Schizosaccharomyces pombe: one gene and its partners. The protein of the gene in region 4 binds, or shares a complex with, the protein of the main gene of each other region. Each region holds a gene or a part of one and is shown on either strand. Other genes may lie near its edges. A codon is read from its position in the direction of its gene.

Region 1 (3,759 bases), on a different chromosome or scaffold from region 4:
GCCTTTATAACCCTTAATAACACCCATTCCAGGATCCCAGAACTCTCCCAGTTTTAGATCAATAGGCTCGATCGTGCGTTGGTAGAGTGCGGCTTGGTCAGGTGCTCCAATTCTCTTTGCAAAAGCTGTACCATCTTGCATGGCACGCTTCTGAACGGCTAGAGTAAAGTAATGAACGTCCTTAATTTCTTCCCAAAGATCAAAGCTTGCCTCTGTCCAGTGATTTGCAGTATAATCCAAGTCGGCTAATACAGCCTCAATCCAGACAGTAACTTCATGGACCTCTTTACCATTTTCAAATAAATAATTCATGTATTTGATAAATGCAATAGCCCGAAGAGCAGGGGAATCATTCTGGGGACGTCCCCAATCTCCGTCATAGCTTGTCCCATCAACATTAAATTTAGGCTCACCAAGACCTCCGGCGTAAAAGTCTCCACTTGGGTTCGGGACCTTTTGGAGCCTGACCATTTCATCCATATATTTGACGATAATCGGCTCAAGTCCTTTGTCCCCTTCAAAGAAACGATCTAAAATAGTCATGATCGTCAATGCACTATCACGAACCCATTGATAATAGTAATCAGGGGAATCAGTTGAAGGGGAAGCAATAATACATCCAGGATTAATATCCTTAGCATGCATACCGCTGTCACCGATATTGTTCAGCATATGTCCCATAGCAATACCCTTTTGCTGATCCGTCCATTCATCCATAGAAGCTTCCTTGCTTCTTTTATTAGGGGAAAGTAAGCTTTCTGCAGATACGACCCCCCCAAGGAGTAAGAATAACCAGTATGTACGCATGTTGGAATTTAAAAGTATTGTAAAATTGGGTAGACTATACAAATATTGATGGCAATCGTGTTTAATTATATAGGCAAACGAATAAAAATATGCGCTTTAGTTAAAATTTAACTGGAATATTTGCTCTATATATGTCTTTTGCTTTGTTTATTAGTAAACAAAAACAGAGGGAATTACCATCAAAATCGATCATCATGCTGCGACACGAATGGACAAAACTAGACTATATAAGTTAGTAAATAAACAGAGTAAATGAATGTGATTGATCCTTTTTGGCTTATACTGAAAATTTGGCGAAGCAAGGATTACCAAAGAAAATGTATTTATTGTTTGTTTATTTTCAACACTTGCTTATAAAGTTTGATTCTATAGTATTCAGATCTATGATAATATGGAAGTGTGCATTCACCAATTACTTAAATAGCGACAAAATTTGTTGAATTGGAAAAAATCGACAGCACAGCTTTTAATATCAAATACGCTACTGAGTCTGAGTATAAGCAACAAGTGTGATCTTTTTAAATAATCATCGTTAAAAAGCACAAAATATAACTGTGATAATGGACAAGATGTCGCTGTCAAATTCTGAAGCAACGTTTCAGTTACTCCAGCAATCATTAAAACACATCTCTTTGTTGTAAAGGAGAATTATTGTATTATGCTCTTCGCCCTATTATTTATTCATTAATAAGAAAAATACTCAGAGAGCATCGTTCACTCACGATTGTCAAGACATTAAGATCTATTGTTCTTCCACAATCAACGCAAATAGAAATCTTGTATCCACCTCATATTTTAAAAATAAAAAATCTCTAAAAGATATGCAAGAAAATCAAATTTTATTTAATGGAATTTTTTTTAGTCTTAATTGAGTTGTAATATTTACAAACCTTTAAAATGTAAACAAAGGAGTTACCGATACCATCGATATGCGTTATCGTATATAAAGTACTCTAACGTTTTTTGTTAATGTATCTACTGCTCTCGTCATCACCAATATCGATTCAGCCTTGGATATCGTCTATCATCCGCAAAACAGTAGACTGCTAGTCCTGTTACTGAAAAATGGCTACCTCTCAAGTTTTACACATTCTTCCTAAACCCTCTTACGAACACGCGTTCAATAGTCAAAGAACAGGTACAGTATAGGACCTAAATAAGTAGATTTTAACAAATTTGATATAGAGTTTGTCACCACAACTGCTACGAACCAAGTTGAACTTTACGAGCAAGATGGAAATGGGTGGAAGCATGCCCGAACATTTAGCGATCACGATAAGATTGTAACTTGTGTCGATTGGGCTCCGAAATCCAATCGAATCGTAACTTGCTCTCAAGACCGTAATGCCTATGTTTATGAGAAACGTCCTGATGGGACTTGGAAGCAGACCCTCGTCTTACTTCGTTTGAATCGTGCCGCTACGTTTGTTCGTTGGTCGCCTAACGAGGACAAGTTTGCTGTTGGTAGTGGTGCTCGTGTCATTTCTGTTTGCTACTTTGAACAAGAAAATGACTGGTGGGTCAGCAAACATCTGAAACGTCCGCTTCGTAGTACCATTTTGTCTTTGGACTGGCATCCTAATAACGTTTTATTAGCTGCCGGCTGTGCAGACCGTAAGGCATACGTTTTATCTGCTTATGTTCGTGATGTCGATGCCAAACCAGAAGCCAGCGTTTGGGGTTCACGTTTACCTTTCAACACTGTTTGCGCTGAATACCCATCTGGTGGTTGGGTTCACGCCGTTGGATTTTCACCTTCGGGTAATGCCTTAGCGTATGCTGGCCATGATTCTTCTGTTACGATTGCATATCCCAGTGCTCCCGAGCAACCCCCACGAGCTCTAATTACTGTCAAATTATCTCAATTGCCTTTGCGTTCTCTTCTTTGGGCGAATGAGAGTGCCATTGTGGCTGCTGGCTATAACTATTCTCCTATTCTTTTGCAAGGCAATGAGTCCGGTTGGGCCCATACTCGCGATTTGGATGCCGGAACTTCCAAGACCTCATTCACTCACACAGGAAATACTGGTGAAGGTAGAGAGGAAGAGGGTCCTGTTTCATTTACTGCTCTTCGTAGCACATTCCGTAACATGGATTTGAAGGGCTCCAGCCAGTCTATTTCGTCTTTACCAACCGTTCATCAAAATATGATTGCAACCCTTCGACCTTACGCTGGGACTCCTGGCAATATTACTGCGTTTACCTCCAGCGGTACCGACGGACGTGTTGTTTTGTGGACTCTTTAGAAAAGATATCGGCAAATGAATCTTATCAAATCAATTATCGAATTTCCGTAGATGTTAATCTCATAGAATAAAAGAATTGAACAAGCTTTAGCTAGATATAGTAACTGTTATTCCGCAGCTTATATGATTACTATGTCGTCTTATAAATTTTTGTCAATCATATTCAGTTTTGTGTATATATTTTTTCTTAGAGACCCCAAAATTGAGAAGTGCTTTTGCTACGTAAGTTTACTTATACCACCACTTGAGACTGAACCACGGGTATGCGTTCTTACGAATAATCATTAGATATAACTTAGATTAAAGTGTTTATTAATTGTATAGTTAGTAAAATTAGTAAAGATCAACCTGAAAAGTTTAAACACCAAGTTGGATAAATAATATTGTTCAAATTTATGTAATCCAAACAACGAAATTGAAAGGATGTTCTAATTTGATCCTTTCGGCAAAATTTGAAAACCGTAACGCGTGAAATAAAAATATAATGAATAGAAAAAAAGAATGAGAAAGAAATGATAGTACTATCTTCTGTCAAAAAATCGTTTTAAGGTACCAATGTCTCCAACAGCTGTAATGACATCCATTTCTGGAACAAGCAAACTAATGATTCGGTCCTGAGGCTTTCCGTTACGCTGCTTCGTGCGCAAACGAATGATTGCAAGAGTTTCTAAAGAATTCGCGACATCGCAAAATTCCGAACTTGTTA
Region 2 (4,374 bases), 2.4 Mb from region 4:
TCTGGGGAAAAGTGTTGGTATTAACGTTTGGGATAATCTGCGTTGTGTTTGTCATATTTATGTTGCATCATGAAAGAATTAAAGCGTGTCGAACCATAATTTCTGCACGGGAACAGCAGAGAACACAACACTCAATTCACAGGAGAGAGCGCTCTTCTTCCGGAGCATCACAACAATTCGAACATCATGTTCGACAGACTGATTGCCTCCCTCTTTATGAACCTATTACTGCTCTTAACCAGCAGTACTTGAAAACTTTACCCACCACAAGCACACCTCCCCCGCCCGCAATATTTGATGAAAATGGTGAATTTGTCGGCGACGTTCCATCTGTTGCCGGTGCAATTGAACGCCCACCTTCTTATGAATCATTACCTGCTCCGCAAAATGATGAAGTTTAGTTTTTTTTATGATGACTACTTGATTGCTTCTGCTTTCTCTCAACAAATTCGTTGAGTACTTGTACACTTTCCATTTTATCCATCGTTCTTGAATAATAAAGTATTTATCAGGCGGAACCCATCGGTTTCATCCGTTTTCTTTTTTTTTCTCCTTTTACGTTATTAGTAATCACTATATTATTATTCTCATGGTTCTCATCATTATTATTTGGACAAGTTAATTATATACATCTTATTTGATATTGCTCAATGAAAAAGCCTGGAAACATAGCAAACCTCAAGTCTATTTCTTCTAAGGCTAATGCCTGCTCCATTAAACTTTTCATTTTAATCAGTAAATCCTATAGACGCAAAACTCATGATATATTTCATTAAAGAGAATTTCCAAAAATTTGGTACCTACGAGCAATGGAAGCACCATATTCTTCGTAATCTGCTTTGGTATGGCAATAGGATCCGAATTCAGGCTAAACATGTCAGTAAATCTCTACGGGTAAACTAAAAAATATACAAACATAAGATAATGACATACCGTTTGTGCTAGTAAACTGCCGCCAAACCAAACCGCATTTCGTTGACGTTTATGGGAGATAACATTAACGTCTACACCACCACTTTTAGCACCGGAGAGCATTTCACTGCGGTGAATACGCTCGTCAACAATCCGCTTGAGATCTCTTTGTAAGCGGTTGCCAAAGTTCTTAAACAAAGTACTACCACCAGAAAGGACAATGTTTTTATAAAGGCCTTTACGAACGTCAATGGGTGAGCTCTGTACGACGTTGTCCACAAGTTCCGGAAGAGGGGTCAAAAAATCGGAAGAAGCAATCTCAGGATTAAAAAATATTTCAGGTGCGAGGAAGCGTTCAAATCCTACATCAATAGTAGTAGAGTGTCCAGTAATTGATTCAGATGCATATTTTAAATAACGGTCGGGCTCACGATCAAATCTACTAAACTCCTTAACAATGTCCGGACAAACGTAGCAACATTCCTCTTTAATTCTTTCAGCAGTTTTGAGACTTGAATCAGGTTCATTGCGGTCACGTAATAAGGATTGAACAAAGTACGTAACATCACGACCAGCAAGTGGCATTGTCTTAATGGAAGAGCCGATAACATATCCTTCGGCCTAAGGTTTATCAGTTAGTAAAATTCGGGCATATATATATGCATTTAATGTTCAAAACTGTTTATCTAAGCTCGTATTAGATTTTTTATACATACAACAGGAATAATATGAGTAACGCCATCACCAGAGTCAACAACAGTACCGGTCAACGAACGATCAGTAACTTTTGAAGATGTCCAAGAGGCGGCAAGAGCCAAAACCGCTTGAACAGCAATGTAGAGTCCTGCACAGTTGAACGACTCAAACATAATCTCTGCAGTATTTTCACGGTTTTCAGGTGGATTCAAAGGAGGTTCGGTCAAAAGAAAATAATGGTCCTCTGGTTCACAACGTAAATATTTAAAGAGAGACTGTTGCCAAAAACGCTCCATATGGTCCCAATTTTCTATTTGTCCATGACGGATAGGATAGTCCAAAGAATATCCAGCAGACGCCTTTTTCAATGCATCGTTTCCAATAAAAAAGTCCAAGTCCTCAGTTGCCCTTTTGCTTGAGAGATGCCCACTGCCTTTCGAGGCCATGTAAGAAGGCTTTGATGAAACAGCCGGCCCTGAAGAAGCACCCGCAGAACGCGTCGCAATAACAGTGGGGAATACATAAGAAGGAGCATCGTTCCCAGCATAGCTGAAATTAAATTACTGTTAATAAATGCTCAAAAGAGAGATAATAACATCCTAAAACGACTATTACACATACCCAAGCTTGCTATAGCCGGTACCGCTAACAAATAAAGTTAGTAACTGATATTCACGAACAATTTAACTTCGCTACATCAATACTTACTTGTCCATTATAATGGGAACATTAAACGAAGCCATTGCTATTATTTTATGAAAAGGTAAGCGAAAGAGAAGTTGGTTCCAGTTGAAACTCTTAATATCGTCTCGCAACGGTCACCGATGTCGAATTACGTGGGTTAACGGGAAACATATGGTAATTTACGAGATGAGCCGATTACGTTAAATGCGAATGCCCGTATACAACCCACTTTGGATATCTTTACTAAGGCCAAATTAATTTACACAAAAAATTAAATATGTATTTCTTCAATACCAGTACCACCGGTTAAAATTACCAAGTTGCTAAGCTAGAAGACGCTTCTTGCTACTAGAAAATTAAATATTAACGATCTTGCGTTAATCCCTTTTCAGTAATAAAACTAACCACGTTGGTATTATCAAACAATTACAAATGTAGATAGCTATGTCGAATTTTTAAACAAATCATAGTATTAAAGACCTTATGCTTTAAACCTCTTAGCCTTAAACATTTTTAAGCTGTAATCATGGATTTTATATTCACTCATGTAGCAATTATTACTTGTGAACCAAACCATAAACTGTTATTTTAATGCTATTAATTAATGCTCTCATTTGCAATTTCTATTTCAGTTTGCATTCACAATCACAGTTAGGAACCGGACATATTGTATGAGTTGAAAACCATTCTGAAGCATGAGATGCGTGAGCTCCATGGCCACAATTTAGACAAAAGCTAAACCATAACCCAAATCTAGATTTCTGAAGATTAACTTCTTTGACATAGTTTTGAGGTTTTTGAGAAAAGTCATCTTTCTGAGGAACATCTTCATCTCCTAAAGAAAACCCACATACAGAGCACTTTGGAAGAGGCTGTCCGCAATGAGGACAACTTTTTCCCAAGTGTTTTGCTGGGCCTGCTTTACTGACACCTCGTTGAATTGGCGTTGGTAAATTATTACATTCATTCCTATTGGAGAAAGGAAAAATTGGTTTTCTACAAAAATTGCAGATAATGCGTATAGATGGCTCTGTAGCCTTTCTGGTTATTTCTCCTGTGTGATTTTTTGAGAGTTCTGTCCGAAAGATATCAAACTTTGCACGCTCACGGTAAAGTTTCCAGCGGTTTAGAAGCTCTCTATAACTTTCAGTCCAATCCTCTGCACGTTTATCCAGAAATTTCTTAGGTACCACAAATGCAGCAATCAATGCAGCAGTTTGAACATCGCTTGTATGATCAATGTAGTTCTGCAGAAGTTCCATTCCCAAAGGAGTTAAACCTGTAAGTAACAGGCCTTCTGGGTCGCCTGATTGCACTGTAGTGTGACATAAATCGCACAAATAATTACTCAAATCGTCATCTGGTAAAAAGCGAAGAGCAATTCCAAGACGATCTTTTAATGAGAGAGAAACTTCATCTAATACATCTCTCCAATCGGAGTTGGAAACATACGCAAATATTGCACGTAAGTATGGATCTTCCAATTCTGTACTTAAGTTACGAGACATTTCTTTCCACAATGAGTCACTTCCAAAGTTACTTAAGCCTTGCGATGTAATGTATCCGGCAACTGCTGTGGATATGGTCTTCTCCAGCTCATTCCCACTTGATAATATACGGACTACGTTTTCAATTTTTCCGTGGAAAAGTGCTAACCCAGCGGCTTTTACATGCTCATTCTTGCGAATCAGTCTTCTAATTTCCAACAACAAGTCATCATTTGACATTCCTAATCCACAGGCAAGTAAAGCGAGTTGGCGTAAAGGCCTTTTAGTTTGGATAGACGTAAATATATCTAAATCAAGTCTCTCAATAACATCTCTAGCAAGTCTTAAAATTTTTTTTTCTAAAAATTTGCTTTCTTTTGCTTCAAAAACATCGGACATGCTAGTCAATTCAGTATCCATAAACCAAATACCTAGTGCACCTTGATAGCTGAAATCTGTATCTCCTGTGTCTCCAAACAGTGATTCTTCTGATTGTCTATGGCTTAAGTGAATCCAAGACCATAGATCTTTTAAGTATAAATCAGAAACTAATTCTGAGTTTTTTTGGGAATCAAATTGGTAGCCCTTTTTGACG
Region 3 (3,460 bases), 510 kb from region 4:
TTTTGGTTGATAAGAGCCGTTGCGCAAAGGCGTCTGGAAAGATGATTTATCATTAAGGTACGAACCACGGAAATCAGAATAATCATCGTTATTATTTTTGAGTGATTTCCCCAAAAAATCAGATTGGCTGATCACAGAATTCGCGTTTTCATCTTTAAATTTGGGAGATTGCGTATTAAAATCTCGTTCAGACATAACGTAACTGCGGATGCATGTATTTATTAAAATTATCCACCAACTAGCGCAAGTGCATAAAATTATATAGAAACTACTTATTCTGGCAGAATCATTAAAAAGCAAAAATGTTGTTGATTGTAGTTTGTTTACAGTCGTCAAATGATCAAATAAACTACGAAACAGCTCCCTAATATAAGTAACAACATATCGTATACTTTCGTTATATCTTGTAAGGATGCTAAAAGTCAAAAGGCGAGATTGTAGATATGAAGGATTATCGAATGTAAAACTGCCTTGATATGTTTATTGTACTCAATACAGAATAGAAGAGATAGGAATTTTATTCGGAAGAAGTATTTGGTGCTCATTTATTTATGTATAAATTGATAAAATCATCGATAGGGTCCAAAACGTAAACATGAATCTAAAAACAACTCAGATAAGTTTCAGCAACAAGACGAGCTCTTCCGTTCAAGAAAAGTTTCATCTCACTAATTTCAGCGTCAACTTCCTCCATAAACTCAATAATGAAATCAACTAATTTGTGCTTAAGCATTTCCTCAGTATGGTAATTAGTTATAAGAAAGGAAATATCATAGCCCTATAACAAAGAAAGGTTAGTTTGATGATATTTACAAATAGCAATGGCAACTTCGAAAAAGAAAAAAAAGAAGAACTATACAATGGCTGAGGCAGAACAGTGAACACTTAAACTAACGCAAAATCTCTAGAAATTCTTCCCTTGAACACTTTTTTGCCAATTACAATTTGTAATAACGTACCTGAACAGGTTTGCGGCGCAAAATAAAGAAAGATTCTGCACGACCCATTAAAAACTGCATAAATTTGCGCACAAGAATTCGTTCAATTTCATCGACTTGTTTAATACGAATGCTGAAACGAACACTAATTTCATAAATGCATCAGTAAAAAAAATCCAAATAATGAGAATGACTTTCAAAACTCCGTTATTCCAAATCGAAAGATCAGTGAATGTACCAGTTCGAATCGGAAACATCGGATGCCTAAGACATACCTATTAACAGAGCTCTCAATCAAACACTGTTCTTGCTCATTACGAGAGACCACCAGGGGCTTTAGTAGAATTTCAGGAGACCGTCCAACCTCAACTTCCGGCTGACTCTGGCGTTCTACAATTTCTGATGAGAATTCCTCTAATGCTAAAGAAGCAGTCAGAGTAGAACGAACTGCGTTTAAATAAGGTCTTAAGGTATTAGACTATGCCTTCGTTAATAAATCATATCTTTTTATAACAAAAGAATTCCTCTCTTACCATAATTAGAATCTATGGAGTCAGTCTCCGGGTTTGGTTTTGTGCTAACACGTAGTGTCAGTGTGATATTGCTTAACGAGTTTAGCGGCACAACCACGCACGCTGCGTGGTGTTACCGAAAATGAGTATATAGCTCGTTACTGTATGGCCTTCACCAAGTACCAGCAACATATATAATAAGTATAATTTGCAAAGAATTACAAAAAAAATTATATTGGGCTTAAACAAGTATTTCTTTCATTAATTACAAAAACCATTTATGATGATTCCCATAGCAATTCGTTGGCAAGGGAAGAAGTACGACTTAGAGATTGAACCTAATGAAACAGGAAGCACCTTGAAACATCAACTATACTCGTTGACACAAGTTCCTCCGGAACGACAGAAAGTGATTGTCAAAGGTGGCCAGCTTAAAGACGATGTTTTGCTTGGTTCAGTTGGTATTAAACCAAATGCAACTTTATTAATGATGGGTACTGCAGGCGAACTACCAACAGCTATGCCCATTCCAGCTGTCGAGTCAGTAGAACAAGAGGAATCTGAAGATGATGGCTATCCGTCAGGGCTTATAAACTTAGGCAACACGTGTTACATGAATTCTACAGTTCAAATGCTGCGTGCCATTCCAGAATTATCAGACGCTGTCTCACAATTCAATTCCTCTGGGGGTTTGGTGGCAGAATATCGGACGTTATTAAATTCTATGCAATCTAATGCTCCGGTTACACCAATGAGGTTTCTTCAAAGTCTACGCATGGAGTATCCACAGTTTGCAGAAATGAGTAGAGAAACTGGGGGTTATGCTCAACAGGATGCTGAGGAATGCTGGTCATTCTTGCTATCAGTTTTACAGCGCTCCCTATCATCTGAGTGGGTACAAAAAAATATGGCTGGAAAACTTTTATCTACTATGAAATGTGATGAAAACGAAGTACAGGAGCAACCCTCTATTTCACATGATACGTTTTTGAGTTTACCTTGCCATATCTCTATGCATACAAGCTATATGACCCAGGGGATCCTTGAAGGGCTTACGCAAAAAATTTCTAAGCATAGTGATGTATTAAATCGTGATGCCATGTATAGCAAAATCTCAAGGATTTCTCGACTACCCAATTATTTAACTGTTAATTTTGTTCGATTTTACTGGAAAGCATCAATAGGGAAAAAGGCTAAAATTCTTCGTAAGGTTAAGTTTCCATTTGAGCTCGATGCAGTCGAGTTTTGTACTCCTGAACTTTCACAAAAATTGATTCCCGTACGTGACAAATTACGTGAAATTGAAAAAAATGATGAAGAACATGAGCGAGCTGCTAAGCGTATCAAAATTCAACCTTCAGAGGACGAGAAGGAGGCGGAAGCTGAGTGCAGGCTTACTCAGGTTGCGACGTGTCAATCACTAGTAGATCCTGAGCTCGCTGATGATGAAGGAGCCAACCCCACCGGCCTTTATGATTTAGTCGGGGTTTTATCACACGCCGGTGCTAGTGCATCTTCAGGCCATTACCAAGCTTGGATAAGAAATAGCAATAATCGTGCTGAATGGTTCAGGTTCAATGACGCAAAGGTATCTATCGTTCCTGCTGAAAAAATTGAAACTCTCGATGGTGGTGGTGAAGCTGACAGTGCCTACATCCTTCTTTATAAGGCAAAAGACATTGCATGAGCTTACGATTTCTTTATTTTTTTTTAAAACCTTCTTTTGACTGTTTATTATGGGAAAAGAACTAGAACGTATCATATCAAAGTGGCATTGTTTACTCTCACGTTTTAATAGAAGGGCTGGGTCATGATTTATGTAAGATAAAAACGCTCAAAATATTATTCCAGTAAACAGTTGCATTTATTTACGTGCTTTATTCTATATTATTCTGAAGCAACAAATAAGATACCCAACGTATGAATACTATTTCCTTTACCTTTACACATATACCACAATACTTTCATGCACAACAAACACTAGCATCAATTAAGAAATTGAAATCTATA
Region 4 (3,266 bases):
CGACAATTGTTGGAAACTTCGTTAATAGGTCTCGAGGACTCTATCTATAGGCTGGAAGGCAGTTACTTAGAAAAAACATCGGGTACTGGCAACATTATTCGTGGATTCGAAGGTCTTTTAAAAAACAATGCATCAAACCTCCGCCGTCGTGCAGACTATTCGGAATCAGACAGACTGTTTTCTCTTTCTTCCCTGTCGAGTCCCCATACACGTAGTCCAGCTTATGACCTCGACGACTCGACAGAAACTAGTCGAAGAAGAAAACGAAAAAATGAATCTGATAGTCACGAAGGAAGAAGACGTTCTTCTTTTCGAGAACTATAATGTTACTCAGAAAACGGATATAAAGAATATACTTTAAATTTTATGAGGAAGTTCCTTTTTCGGAGCTTTTACAAATCAATTTGCGATTATTTTCTCCTTCTTCTAAGTATTTTGCAATAGCGCTACAAAATTACGGCTTAACTAGCTATTCAAAGTTTGTCCTTTAGAACAGTTACTATTTATGACTTGTATAATACAATTTTCATTTTCAAAAAATAAGCATCTCTTATGTAACGTGTGTATCTACAATCAAAGATTGATATTCCTGTATTTTGCGCTAGCATCATTTAATCAACCCAGCTTTGAATAGAAAAAAAGGGTGAGAAACAATTCACGTTTGTTACGAGGAGAGGGAAGCATGAAGCATATATAAAGATCATAACTACGTATGAAGATACGATGAAAGAAAGGATCAACATGGGACGGAACATTAAGCACGAACAAATGACCTACCAGTAGCTGTCTTTCTCTCCAATTCCACATCGGGCTTGGCCCGGTTCAAAACCTTTTGGAAGTCAGCAACACGCTTACGCATACGTTGGTGCATGTAAGCCTTGGAAGCCTTAATGTGAAAGTGTAGGGTGTTGCGGAAAACCTGGATATGAGATATGCAATCTTCACGATTTTGAGGTGTAAAATGACGCTCAAATAAAACGAATGTTACAAATCCAAAGTCATCACCCTTTTGAATACCCTGAATATCACGAATCTCCAAAGGTGGATCTCTATAGGAAAAGAGCACTTGAGGAGCGGTTTGAATAGCCGGACGGCGACGGGCATCAACGAATTCCTGCAAGAATACCTTGCCAAAGATGCGATCAGTCTCTTCACGGAATTTCGTTGAAAAGACGACTGTAACGCGATCATGCTCAGGCCATAAAACAATAGTTTCTTCATCACGATAATGAATTGCCATGAGCTCCTGAGAAGTGGCTTGCTTGTCAAGCATAGGGGCATTTTCCGGGTCTTTACGAGCCAAATCAGCTAGTTCGGCTTGTTTGGTGAATGCACGGTGGAAGGGAGCAGCTAAAACGTTTCTTTTTAACATAGAAATAGACATAGCTAATTGTTCTTTTTCCTCATCGGTAGCGGGAAGTTGTTGTAAGTCTATAAGAATACTGAAGTTGTATCCCATTTCAGGTTCATGCACATAAGCACCGTAAATCTGTTTCAGTAAATCCAGAGTACCGTAATTAACAAGCTCAGGATAGCATTTCATAGACAGACTGATCAAGATTTTCGTCTTTTCCTCAGGAGTTGAAATGTGGAACGTGACGCCATCAAAATCAGTTACCACTTGATCAATCGACGACGGGTTTTCGCTATAAATTAGTGAAATTCTTTATTGTTTGTTTCACATACCTTGAAAACCTTTCTGTCAGTAACTCGTAAATGAATATATTGTTATAATCTAATGAGAGCATGGTTGATGGTTAACGTGTGACGGACCCGGGAATTCTTATTACTCAGGTTCATATAGTGTTATAAATCCTTATACTGAGGCATCTGCAAACATGTAAGAAAACAACAGATCATATTAAAACCATGAACTCAATATATATTTTTAAAGAACTAACAATCTTTTTGTTCTCATTCTTTGTTCTAGATTACCTTTTGCTTCTTAGGTAAACTTCTACTATTTTACCGTCTATGGATATACTGAATATTTTATCTAAAATGTTAGAAATTAAAAAAAAAAAAAAAAAATTAATCAGTATATTAGGAGTTCTGAATCTAATTACTTTATCTAATTCGAAGTGTACCAATACATGGCTTTTATAAACCTTGGTTGCGAAATTTTGAAACCAGTCAACAGTCTTTAGGATATGGAATAAATAGTTATAAACTTCTAAATTAATTTCAATAAGCATTCTAATATAAAACATTGTATACTTCGCAAAAGAGAGGTATCGTAATGAACCTTTATTTAAGAGAAAAACAAACACCAAGTTAGCATGTAAAAAAGGCAAACGAAACAAGACACTGAAAAAATCTATATTTTGTGAATTTCACGTGCAATCCAAAAAAAGAAAGCGAAAAACGGATAGTAAAAAATCAACTTTGAAACAGCAGGCCTTGGTACAGTAAGGCCAACATATTTTAGACGCATAAAAGATCCGAAATTTAATAATAGTATACTGCTTCGAATAATTTGGATGGAGCTATTATGCTATTTTGACTATTAACTATGCAGAGTTCGGCATAAGCTGGGTGATATTCTTCAACACCTAATGCAGAAATTCGGTCGGCAGTTTTTTGGATCACTTCATGCACAGAACTAAGGGCCATTTCTACTGATTTCTTAAGTTTATCCTCCTTTATAGAGGCAAGGCTCTCAGTACAATCCGGGCTCTCAGCAATATGAGCTGCCATTAGTGCTGTAAATAGATCACCAGTTCCCCGAAATATCCCAGGAATCACGGGAATCAGAACAAAAAAACTTTTGGAATATATAGAAGATCCTATACAGTAGAGTTTTTCTACGCCGTTTTCTTCAACGACAAAAGATGAAATGACAACCCGTGGAACTTTATATTTTTGTTGTAGACATTCCACACATTTAAATGCTGTGTCGATTGAATTTATGCGCATCCCTGAAAGAATTCTAAGTAAAAGTCAGTGATTTTCAAACTCATTGCAGGATTGTTCCTTAAAAGTACTCACTCTGCTTCAAACCCATTAGGTGTAATTAAATCAGCAAAAGGGAGCATCTCTCTATACAGCGGGATAATGCTTTCTTCGACATAAAGCCTTCCATTATCTCCCAAAACTGGATCAAAAACTTTTTAGCGTCAGCATGTCAGTCTTCAAGGGAATTGGCAACTTCTAACGCACATACCCCAAAAAGCCTTCTTATTCTTGGATTTTACGGAGCGAACTATCTCCATTATTGCTTTTACACTTCCTATTCCACGGGCATATCCTGTCAACAAACATTCATA

The links.
Region 1: arc2 (region 4) and arc1 share a complex: the UniProt entries of both Schizosaccharomyces pombe proteins name them as parts of the arp2/3 complex.
Region 2: the proteins of arc2 (region 4) and arp3 are in contact, whole or in part, in a crystal structure (PDB 3DWL), measured with the Schizosaccharomyces pombe proteins. Residues at the interface, in NP_593903.1 of Schizosaccharomyces pombe: Met1 (codon at 1,748), Leu4 (codon at 1,739), Asp5 (codon at 1,736), Tyr6 (codon at 1,733), Asn7 (codon at 1,730), Asn8 (codon at 1,727), Ile9 (codon at 1,724), Phe10 (codon at 1,721), Gln29 (codon at 1,624), Val30 (codon at 1,621), Val31 (codon at 1,618), Thr32 (codon at 1,615), Asp33 (codon at 1,612), Phe34 (codon at 1,609), Asp35 (codon at 1,606), Lys115 (codon at 1,366), Arg185 (codon at 1,156), Glu186 (codon at 1,153), Asp189 (codon at 1,144), Arg266 (codon at 913), Asn267 (codon at 910), Phe271 (codon at 898), His272 (codon at 895), Lys274 (codon at 889), Ala275 (codon at 886), Lys277 (codon at 880), Ala278 (codon at 877), Tyr279 (codon at 874), His281 (codon at 868), Gln282 (codon at 865); in NP_592898.1 of Schizosaccharomyces pombe: Ile8 (codon at 2,330), Tyr21 (codon at 2,156), Asn24 (codon at 2,147), Ala26 (codon at 2,141), Pro27 (codon at 2,138), Ser28 (codon at 2,135), Tyr29 (codon at 2,132), Asp71 (codon at 2,006), Leu72 (codon at 2,003), Phe74 (codon at 1,997), Trp102 (codon at 1,913), Asp103 (codon at 1,910), Gln110 (codon at 1,889), Gln111 (codon at 1,886), Phe114 (codon at 1,877), Lys115 (codon at 1,874), Leu117 (codon at 1,868), Arg118 (codon at 1,865), Cys119 (codon at 1,862), Glu120 (codon at 1,859), Pro121 (codon at 1,856), Glu122 (codon at 1,853), His124 (codon at 1,847), Asn141 (codon at 1,796), Glu144 (codon at 1,787), Phe147 (codon at 1,778), Glu148 (codon at 1,775), Ser149 (codon at 1,772), Phe150 (codon at 1,769), Asn151 (codon at 1,766).
Region 3: the proteins of arc2 (region 4) and arc4 are in contact, whole or in part, in a crystal structure (PDB 3DWL), measured with the Schizosaccharomyces pombe proteins. Residues at the interface, in NP_593903.1 of Schizosaccharomyces pombe: Leu2 (codon at 1,745), Ser3 (codon at 1,742), Thr188 (codon at 1,147), Ile191 (codon at 1,138), Phe192 (codon at 1,135), Lys194 (codon at 1,129), Val195 (codon at 1,126), Phe196 (codon at 1,123), Glu199 (codon at 1,114), Phe200 (codon at 1,111), Ala203 (codon at 1,102), Ala212 (codon at 1,075), Pro213 (codon at 1,072), Val215 (codon at 1,066), Phe243 (codon at 982), Leu245 (codon at 976), His249 (codon at 964), Asn254 (codon at 949), Cys258 (codon at 937), His261 (codon at 928), Ile262 (codon at 925), Val264 (codon at 919), Phe265 (codon at 916), Thr268 (codon at 907), His272 (codon at 895), Ser276 (codon at 883), Tyr279 (codon at 874), Met280 (codon at 871), Arg283 (codon at 862), Met284 (codon at 859); in NP_594116.1 of Schizosaccharomyces pombe: Glu81 (codon at 1,049), Ile82 (codon at 1,046), Ile85 (codon at 1,037), Leu86 (codon at 1,034), Lys89 (codon at 1,025), Phe90 (codon at 1,022), Phe93 (codon at 1,013), Leu94 (codon at 1,010), Arg97 (codon at 1,001), Ser100 (codon at 992), Phe101 (codon at 989), Phe102 (codon at 986), Ile103 (codon at 983), Glu125 (codon at 736), Met126 (codon at 733), Leu127 (codon at 730), Lys130 (codon at 721), Leu131 (codon at 718), Phe134 (codon at 709), Glu137 (codon at 700), Phe138 (codon at 697), Glu141 (codon at 688), Ala144 (codon at 679), Glu145 (codon at 676), Glu148 (codon at 667), Met149 (codon at 664), Phe152 (codon at 655), Leu153 (codon at 652), Asn154 (codon at 649), Arg156 (codon at 643).

The regions. Positions count from the first base shown.
Region 1 is NC_003423.3:2,212,566-2,216,324, forward strand, and holds arc1 (ARP2/3 actin-organizing complex WD repeat subunit Sop2), read left to right. Parts: upstream 1-1,832; 5' UTR 1,833-1,872; coding exon 1,873-1,945; exon of another isoform or gene 1,946-1,992; coding exon 1,993-3,053; 3' UTR 3,054-3,252; downstream 3,253-3,759. Other genes in the region: meu17 (glucan-alpha-1,4-glucosidase), read right to left, coding at 1-807; cdc18 (MCM loader), read right to left, coding at 3,575-3,759. UniProt on the Schizosaccharomyces pombe protein: Functions as a component of the Arp2/3 complex which is involved in regulation of actin polymerization and together with an activating nucleation-promoting factor (NPF) mediates the formation of branched actin networks.
Region 2 is NC_003424.3:348,454-352,827, reverse strand, and holds arp3 (ARP2/3 actin-organizing complex actin-related protein subunit Arp3), read right to left. Parts: upstream 2,396-4,374; 5' UTR 2,352-2,395; coding exon 2,317-2,351; exon of another isoform or gene 2,254-2,316; coding exon 2,230-2,253; exon of another isoform or gene 2,158-2,229; coding exon 1,629-2,157; exon of another isoform or gene 1,534-1,628; coding exon 934-1,533; exon of another isoform or gene 869-933; coding exon 773-868; 3' UTR 532-772; downstream 1-531. Other genes in the region: SPOM_SPAC630.04C (uncharacterized protein), read left to right, coding at 1-401; GATOR2-SEACAT complex ubiquitin-protein ligase E3 subunit Sea4, read right to left, coding at 2,916-4,374. UniProt on the Schizosaccharomyces pombe protein: Functions as ATP-binding component of the Arp2/3 complex which is involved in regulation of actin polymerization and together with an activating nucleation-promoting factor (NPF) mediates the formation of branched actin networks.
Region 3 is NC_003424.3:3,257,971-3,261,430, forward strand, and holds arc4 (ARP2/3 actin-organizing complex subunit Arc4), read right to left. Parts: upstream 1,515-3,460; 5' UTR 1,475-1,514; coding exon 1,472-1,474; intron 1,418-1,471; exon of another isoform or gene 1,417-1,417; coding exon 1,214-1,416; exon of another isoform or gene 1,084-1,213; coding exon 960-1,083; exon of another isoform or gene 779-959; coding exon 602-778; 3' UTR 501-601; downstream 1-500. Other genes in the region: gamma tubulin complex linker, pericentrin/kendrin Pcp1, read right to left, coding at 1-195; ubiquitin hydrolase Ubp6, read left to right, coding at 1,731-3,137.
Region 4 is NC_003424.3:2,749,224-2,752,489, forward strand, and holds arc2 (ARP2/3 actin-organizing complex subunit Arc34), read right to left. Parts: upstream 1,760-3,266; 5' UTR 1,749-1,759; coding exon 1,687-1,748; intron 1,647-1,686; coding exon 755-1,646; 3' UTR 501-754; downstream 1-500. Other genes in the region: NuA4 histone acetyltransferase complex subunit Eaf6, read left to right, coding at 1-324; SPOM_SPAC6F6.11C (pyridoxine-pyridoxal-pyridoxamine kinase), read right to left, coding at 2,449-2,929, 2,989-3,106, 3,164-3,266. UniProt on the Schizosaccharomyces pombe protein: Functions as actin-binding component of the Arp2/3 complex which is involved in regulation of actin polymerization and together with an activating nucleation-promoting factor (NPF) mediates the formation of branched actin networks.